2 linked regions of the Neodiprion lecontei genome follow. The protein of the gene in region 1 purifies or fractionates together with the protein of each later gene. This does not show direct contact. Links are inferred from orthologs where the notes say so. Each region holds a gene or a part of one and is shown on either strand. Other genes may lie near its edges. The genes, in order: coatomer subunit beta' and coatomer subunit zeta-1.

Region 1 (4,986 bases):
ATGTACGGTCTGATAATATCCTGAATGCCAACATGATGAGTTAATCTGTTTGACGAACTGTAAAAAGGTGTTTCAGGTTGTGGTATACAACAGGTTCATGTTGAGGTACAAAGTGTGCGCCACGACTTGAAGCAGACGCTAATTCGCTACAAGTAGACCGGTCAAGGACTTTCGATCAAAAGTGGATATTGTCAGACGATAGTCACTAATGTTCGTTGTTTAGCCTGAGGCACCTGATCGGGATGTGATCGGTTAAGCGTTTCGAAATCCCTCGAGAATGAAAGACTCATCTCCGATCAAATTTCCCATTTTTTAACATAAATACCTGAGCACTGATGCAGTAAGAGAAACTGCATAACTTTTTTCACTCAATTTCGCGTTACCGCCAATTTGGTGCTTTGAAATCATTTAATCCCGCTTAAAATATCCGCTTCGAAATCTAACGGTAGAAATTTTTTCAAACATGTTTTGTGTCGATACTGGAAAATATTATTTTTGAAAATGTTGGCAATGCTTCAACGACACATCGATATGCCTTGACATCAAACGTATTCGTTGGTCAGTTTTGTAAAAATAATTTGACAAATCGCAAAAACATAGCGAGAACCTCTAATGCTTACAACATAAAAATATTTATGTGTATTCTGTGTGAAAGACGTGATTTTCCACTCTAGCCGTATTTTTTTGCATATCTTGAGATTGTTCGATCTAGGAATGAAGCAACTATTTGCGAACCAGTAGTTTACATAAATAGTTTTTATCAAGTAACAACGGATCATTAATCATCATTGTCCGATCACGATTTCAATGCACCCGTACTGCGAAGGATACCGAACTGATTTTAAAAAATTAATCATCAAAATAACAATCTTAAATTCATAACTGGTTCAAACTTTTTTGATATTGCTGAAAATCGAATCGCATCTCACGAGGCATATCCTCATCCTTTAAATTTCAGGCTGTGCGGGAAATTCGGTGGATATGATTCTGTATTTCTAGATTGTAGACATATATGTACGTTCGCAAAAATGACGACCATTTTCCGTATCCGTTTATACTACAAAACTACGGGCGTTAAAATTCTTTTGTAATTTGTGCGATTTCTTATTGGCTTTTTTTCTAATTGTCTTACAATCAAGCGAAAATAGATAATGTCGTCTAACTACCAAAGTGATAGAAACTGCCGGTAGATACTCCAAGACATATGCAAAGTATACGTATTAACGTATGTTGAGTTGCCAGCAATCTGGCGTTCAATAAATTTGTCTACCGACTACTGCTATATACCGGTTTTTCGTATTAGCTGAAAGCATTTCTGATGATTGGCGCATATCAGATAGCTAACGCTTACTTACCATCGGAAAAACAGTCGTTAATGCGGAGCATGCCATTCATCATAACAATTTGCTACTCTCGAGATTCAAAATCAAAATTGTTAGTGTTGGTAATGTAGGCCTGCCTGATAAGAATCCGTCAAATTTGTCGTGACAATCCGATTAAAATGGCAACTGAATATTAGAATTACAATCTCGTAGTCTTTACTAGCCGACAAAAATCATCCGCGCAAAGAGAATCCTGAGTGAGTACGTAAACCAGTTTCACTCGCGTATGCCTCATTTGCTACGCCCTTTGACGTAAAATAGATTTTTGAAATTCATTTTCCAGATGACTTGCACGGCAAGTGCAGGTCGGTTATCCACCCATACTTCTACCGTAGTTGGCGTCGCGAAAGCACTGAGTGACAGAGTATATTCTTACCATACACAGACTTCTATATATAGGCAGAAATCTGTGTTACCATAGCAAAGTGCGACAGAGCCTTGAAGCAAGCGGATCATAAGCGGAGTAGGCTGCCCTTGTGCGCACTGTGACTGGTGTGAAGTGAGCCGTTCGAGTCCCAATCGATGCTGAAAAAATCGACACAGCAAATCCACCTAAACTCGATATGATTCGATATTTTCGATATAGCCGCACGCGCAAGGCCACGACGGCACTCGATGTCACGTATAATTCCCTCTAACTGAGCAACGTACGCAAATGAAGATTACATTTCGTCAATATTGTAAATGGTGAATAAAAATCACAGTTTTCACTCCTGTGGATGCTTGGAAACCGTTTTGATCTTATCGAATAATCTGTATCATTTCATCAGAAAGTAAAACCGTCTGCTACATGATGCGCCATGTTCGAGCCACGTCCTAACTTCATGGCAGCGGCTTCGTGTTTAGGTTTACAATAAGTATATTTCATTTGACATTTTAATCCCTGTTCTAAAGACCGAAACAATTACAACAATCATCAAACATGGTAAGTTCAATAATGGTTCAGTTTGTATCTATAAAATGTATTTATAAGCCGTCGAACCAATGCTAGCCGATTATCATTTGACAAACCCCTCACCGCAATCTTTTCTGCACTTCACACGTCAAACCTTTCTGACAGCTTTTCCGCTATAAATTTCAACTGAATATATTTTCGCACCTGCAAAACGATTTCAAAATCTTTCTTCAATTTATGATAAACACTCCCAAAACAAAAACAAATCTCAAGTACGGAATTCACCAAATTTCACCTATCTAATGATTAAGAATAAATCCCCTGTACGACCTCTTGACGCTTGAAAGCTGCAAAAATTTGTGTTCGATGCCATACCAGCCGTTTTTCAAATACCGGCGTCATTCGTTTTTTTGTAATGTAACTTCTTCAATTGTAGCCGCTGCGACTAGACATTAAACGCAAGCTGACGGCGAGATCAGACAGAGTAAAGAGTGTCGATCTTCATCCATCTGAGCCATGGATGCTGTGTTCGTTATACCAGGGAAATGTCAACATCTGGAATCACGAGTCACAGACTTTGGCAAAGACTTTCGAAGTCTGCGACCTACCTGTCAGAACAGCAAAGTTTGTTGCAAGAAAAAATTGGGTCGTCACTGGCTCTGATGATATGCAAGTTAGAGTTTTTAACTACAACACATTGGAACGTGTTCATGCGTTCGAAGCACACAGCGATTATGTCAGATCCATCGCAGTTCATCCCACCCAACCGTTCATCCTTACCAGCAGTGGTTTGTATTATTTCATCAAGTTTTTTATGTCACTTAAACTGACTAATGAAGTCTATGTAGATGAAATCATTGAATGTTCAAAATAACCTTATTATATTTAACTACAGACGACATGCTGATAAAATTATGGAACTGGGACAAAGCTTGGCTCGGCCAGCAGGTCTTCGAGGGCCATACCCACTATGTCATGCAAATTGTGTTCAATCCAAAGGACAACAACACATTTGCCAGCGCATCTCTGGATCGCACGGTAAAAGTCTGGCAGCTCGGTTCATCGACAGCCAATTTCACCCTCGACGGACATGAGAAGGGTGTGAACTGCGTAGATTATTATCACGGAGGTGACAAGCCTTACCTTATTTCCGGAGCTGACGATAAGTACGTCAAGATATGGGATTACCAAAATAAAACCTGCGTCCAAACCCTTGAAGGACACACACAGAATATATCTGCAGTGTGCTTTCACCCAGAGCTGCCGATTGTTTTGACCGGTTCAGAAGATGGGACAGTTAGAATTTGGCATGCTGGTACATACAGGCTAGAGTCGTCACTTAACTACGGCTTTGAAAGAGTTTGGACGATTTCCTGCATGCGGGGATCTAACAACGTCGCCTTAGGGTATGACGAGGGTAGCGTAATGGTCAAAGTCGGTAGAGAAGAGCCTGCCGTTTCAATGGATTCTTTGGGCGGGAAAATTGTATGGGCAAGACATAGCGAGGTGCAACAAGTAAACCTAAAAGCACTGGGAGAAGAGGCCCAGGATGGAGAGCGGCTTCCGTTGGCTGTCAAAGATATGGGAGCGTGCGAAATTTACCCGCAAACTATACAACACAATCCAAATGGGAGATTTTTGGTTGTTTGCGGGGATGGTGAATACATTATTTACACTTCGATGGCTCTGAGAAACAAGGCTTTCGGACAGGCATCGGAATTTGTATGGGCTGCTGATTCGAGTCAGTATGCTGTTAGAGAAGGAACAAGCTCTGTGAAAATCTTCAAGAATTTCAAAGAAAGAAAAAGCTTCAAACCCGATTTTGGGGCCGATGGTAAGTTTTCGCCTTGAATCAGCTATGGATAGATTTTTCGTAATCTCACTGACCTCGAGTAAAATAAACGACTATATACTTTGAATAATCCCAAAATTACTCCTATACGTTCAATTTCCTATTGTTTTAGGCATCTTTGGTGGATTTATGCTGGGAGTATCTTCCGGCTCTGGTCTTTCCTTCTTTGATTGGGATTCCTTAAAGCTGATTCGCCGCATCGACATTCAGCCGACGCACGTCTACTGGGCAGAGAACGCATCACTGGTAGCGCTAGCGACTGCCGATCAATACTTTATTTTAAAATTCCATGCAGATGCTGTTAATAATCTGCCAGAAAACACTGAAGATATCGAAGATGCATTCGAGGTAAGTTCACACGTTTTTTAATCAATACCTCACCCTCATGCTACAATAGCATTAATCATATCCAATTATAATGATGTTCCAAGTACCGTAATTATGGTCAATTTATCTAAATGAGAATACAAACTTTTCAGATGGTCGCGGAAATGAGTGAGGCAGTGAAAACCGGTCTCTGGGTAGGCGACTGCTTCATTTACACCAACAGCGTAAATCGAATCAATTACTTTGTCGGAGGCGAAGTCGTCACCATATCACATTTGGACAGGCCGATGTATCTGTTGGGTTATGTTCCACGAGACAACAGGCTTTACCTATGTGACAAGGAACTCTCCGTGGTTTCATACTCTCTCTTGCTATCCGTACTGGAATACCAAACCGCAGTTATGCGAAAAGACTTTGAAACCGCTGACAGAGTGCTGCCAACTGTACCAAAAGAGCATCGCACCAGAGTGGCTCACTTTTTGGAGAAACAAGTAATACTCTCATTCGTTTTTTCTCAAGCTCAGAAATCT
Region 2 (4,053 bases), on another chromosome or scaffold:
TAATTGGTTTGAGTTCTTCGATTTGTATGTAAAGGGATTTCTGCAGGGCGTTTACTTCCATGTTTGTGGATTGTAAACTCTCATCCCATGTTCCATGGGAAAGCAGAAGGGCTGACTGCATAGCCGCACCTATCGCCATACATTCGTCAGGGCTCCATTTTCCACTGCACACTTCACCGTTAGAGAAAAGGGCGCCAATTTTCTCCTGAAGTTTTGGAATCTTCATTGTACCTCCGCTGAGTATAATCTTGCTTATATCATCTGTGCCCAGTTTTGTTTCTTTTAATATTTTGTCGACGGGTGCAATATACTCCGATATGTTTGAATTTATCAGGTTCTCAAAACGAGCTCTAGTTATATTATAGCTAAAATCAACTCCGTCGCACAAAGATTCTACAAAACAGTGCGCTGTCGACATTGTCGACAAAACATGTTTACACGTCTCTGCGGCTATATTCAACTTTGACATTGATCTCCTGCTCTCCATTGGATCCAATTTCCATTTACTCATGAACTCGCCTGCCAAATATTCAGCTAAAATTTTCGTCAACTTGTTACCACCTAAATCGTGGTAGTACGACGTCGATACAATCTGGTATATGCCACTGACTACTTTGACCAATGTGATCTCACTGCTCACACCTCCTATTCTGTAGACTAGCACGTATCTGTGAAATAAAATTAATGATAACAAGGTCCTTGTACAATTGGGAGCGAGCCTTCAGGCTTGTGAAAATAACTACAAACCCTGACTCTTTTCTGTCTTGACCAATCCCATAGGCCAAACACGCAGCAGCAGGTTCGCTAATAACTTGTAGAACTCTGAACCCAGCAGAGGAGGCAGATTTGCTCCACATTTGAATGCTAGCAGAACTGAATCTGAGCGGAACGCAAAGTACGACGTTGTGCTCATTGTCATCATGTGCTGCGGTAGTGGAAATACTGTACATGACCTCGAATATTCTAGTTGCAACTTCGACGGGAAGTATTTTCTCCATCCTTTCATTCCTCTTTATTAAATATTGTACTGTGTCTTTCTCTGTTATTATTTTACAGGTGCTACTCTTTACTGCTAACTCCAGCTCCGTCTCGTCAATGTTTTTATTCATTAATCTCTTATTGTTCAATACAGAGACCGGACCATTCCTGAAGAGTCCAGCCTTGGCCGCCAAGCCGATCACCTTGAAAATTGTAATGGATAGACGTTACAACGCTGCAATAGGATAAATTTATAAAACACTAGTGGCAGGGGAGCGAATAATTCAAGGCAAACTAGCGAAAGAAAGGATGCGAGAGCAGATCCTAACCTAAAAATGTTATAGATATGCCGTAAAATAGAGTTTCACCTCTTCGGTTTCGTTGAAGGCGACCACAGCCGCGGTGACTCGCTCGCCGGCTTCGTTTGCGACGACGTCAACGTTGTCATCCTGTGAAAATTGATTGAATCAGGGTTATTGATGTGACGTTTTGGCTAGGTTAGAACGAGGCAGCGCGTCCATGTGTCATACATGCGGTTATCTTCCAGTGATAAAATGGTTGGAACTGACTGGTTATTATGAGACGAAAATGCGCCTCCCGCCCGTCAAAAAATATCCAGTTATGCTAGAAATTATCCAGTCACAATTTACCTTAAATATCGCCAAACAGGCTGAGGTGTTTCCTAAATAAAGACCGAATGCGGCTACCGATGCCATGTTTGTACATTCTGTAGAAGCACGAAGCAACGGGATTCGGTTCACGATCAGTTACGACACTGTGGTTACGACTTTCTGCGAGATCACGGATGCCGATCAAAACATGCTACGACCCTTTTTATCGACAGTAGCCTGCAAATTATAACCAAAGGAACGCAGGAACTGAAATCCGAATCGAGCAAATTGACACGTAAACAGAGCGGTTGCCCGTTGACTTTTACGCGAAAATATGGACGATCAGTTGCTGGTACGTTTACTATTTAAATATGTCTTTTTCCAACCTATTATTTAAGATCGAACAATCATCCGACGGGCTGACGGTTCTCTGTCATATTCCTGACCACTTATGTACGGTCGTCGAATATTTGACGGCTTTTGACTGTGTCGCTTCGACTCAACCTAACCTAACCTAACCTAAGAATTTCTACTTAATTTATTTCGAATGACGTTACTCGTCAAATTTAATTGGTTCATCTGTTTTTTCCAATGAATCCATTCTTTTCGTTGAACAATCTTATTATAATGACGTGTCTTTTTTTATCAGGAACCCTCACTATACACCGTCAAGGGTATGGTGATACTGGATAATGATGGCAACAGAATACTGGCAAAGTATTACGACAAGAATGTATTTCCAACTTCAAAGGAGCAGAAAGCCTTTGAGAAAAATCTCTTCAACAAGACACACAGAGCTAACACAGAAATTATCATGCTGGATGGTCTGACGTGTGTTTATAAGAGCAATGTCGATCTATTCTTCTATGTAATGGGCAGCTCTCGTGAAAACGAGGTTTGTCATGTTTTCTTTTGTTCTTATCTTTTTGTAAATGAACAATGCAAATATCTACTTCTAGCTGCTCATGTTGGCGAATAATAGGATTTTCACTAACCCAACTGGTCAGGATTTATCATTAGCTTCTTTGACAGTGAATAATTCTTTGTTAAACTATAATTAGAGATTTTTAAATCATTTCACGTTACAGCTAATTCTTATGAGCGTGCTGAATTGCTTATATGATTCCATAAGTCAAATTTTGAGAAAGAATGTTGAAAAGAGAGCAGTGCTTGATAGTCTGGATATTGTGATGCTGGCTATGGATGAAATCTGCGATAATGGGTAAGTTTTCTGAGATATTGGATTTCCAGATGATTGAAAAATATTTGTATGAACTAGTAAAGCTAGTTTGCACTACATAAAAAAAAATTCCGAAACCCATATGAATTGAATCCGAGCTCAACTTATGGTTAATTATTCCTCATACAAATTAAGATATTTCTGTTATTTAGTATTATTTTGGATGCCGACGCAAGTAGCGTAGTGACACGGGTAGCACTGCGAACAGACGACATTCCACTTGGCGAGCAAACGGTAGCACAGGTGAGAATGTATACCCCTTATTTCAGTCTTCACTTTCTACCATGTCTCTTTTTCCTATATTATGAAATATCGATCTTTCAGTGTAATCCTATCGTGACTTGTCTTTAGACTGTAATTAATATCTAACCATTTTAATCTTACAGGTTATACAGTCAGCAAAAGAGCAACTTAAATGGTCGTTATTGAAGTAATTTAATTTTATAAAATTAATGTTAAGAAAAAGTAAAAAATTGAGCACGTGACGTGAGTGAAAAAAAAAAATATTACATGATCTATGTGAATAAACTATGTGAATAAACTAGCAACGACTATGATTATAAATCGTTAAAATTGATTATATGAAGTATCGTCACATGAAATTGAATGAGGAAAAACTTTCAGTTTTACATCCATGTGACGCCCCGGTTTTCAGTCGAATATGCATTGTAGTTTACGTGATCGCAAAGCTGAGTTTACGTCAATTATTTATTTTCGTTTCAGTCAAATTTGAATCAGAGATTTAGCCTTTTTTAAAATTCTGGCTCACAGCCACCAGCAGAGCGCTGCGGGCACCTAACATGACGAAATACTTGACGCGTGACTGGATAAAGGAAATTCCGGTACACTTTTTCTCTCTCGTCCTGTGCCGTGATTGGATGGGGAAACGCGATTCAGCCAATCACAGCGCAGAGCGAGAGAAACAGAGTGTACTGGGACCCTCTTCATCCAATCACGCATCCGAGCATTGGAGGAGCGTATAAGCTCGATGACCGGATGACTAAATCACATCGTGCAGCCTGCAGTTGCTACTATCAATAGTTACCGACAAAGCACAGAACGAGTTTGTGGAGACGTTGGAAACGGTGTGCCTACAGGTGGAACCATTATCGGTGCACGGTTGTCTGTGATACTTCCGTAACACATAGGTATGTCCATAATAGAAATAAAAGTGGGAATAAGTAAAAAACAGGATTAATTAAAACGGTATATCATATATAGCCA

Evidence for each region.
Region 2: the proteins of coatomer subunit beta' (region 1) and coatomer subunit zeta-1 fractionate together in Homo sapiens (co-fractionation; 6 studies listed by BioGRID and IntAct, with this or other methods). This does not show direct contact. The link is inferred for Neodiprion lecontei from reciprocal best matches to the Homo sapiens genes COPB2 and COPZ1.

What each region holds. Positions count from the first base shown.
Region 1 is NC_060263.1:41,044,064-41,049,049, reverse strand, and holds the start of coatomer subunit beta', read left to right. Parts: upstream 1-1,963; 5' UTR 1,964-2,304; coding exon 2,305-2,307; intron 2,308-2,713; coding exon 2,714-3,065; intron 3,066-3,172; coding exon 3,173-4,111; intron 4,112-4,241; coding exon 4,242-4,477; intron 4,478-4,608; coding exon 4,609-4,947; intron 4,948-4,986. UniProt on the Homo sapiens protein: The coatomer is a cytosolic protein complex that binds to dilysine motifs and reversibly associates with Golgi non-clathrin-coated vesicles, which further mediate biosynthetic protein transport from the ER, via the Golgi up to the trans Golgi network.
Region 2 is NC_060264.1:32,063,650-32,067,702, forward strand, and holds coatomer subunit zeta-1, read left to right. Parts: upstream 1-1,806; 5' UTR 1,807-1,923; coding exon 1,924-1,941; intron 1,942-2,238; coding exon 2,239-2,484; intron 2,485-2,677; coding exon 2,678-2,811; intron 2,812-2,981; coding exon 2,982-3,072; intron 3,073-3,215; coding exon 3,216-3,263; 3' UTR 3,264-3,393; downstream 3,394-4,053. Other genes in the region: heat shock 70 kDa protein 14, read right to left, coding at 1-668, 748-1,181, 1,347-1,427, 1,629-1,694. UniProt on the Homo sapiens protein: The coatomer is a cytosolic protein complex that binds to dilysine motifs and reversibly associates with Golgi non-clathrin-coated vesicles, which further mediate biosynthetic protein transport from the ER, via the Golgi up to the trans Golgi network.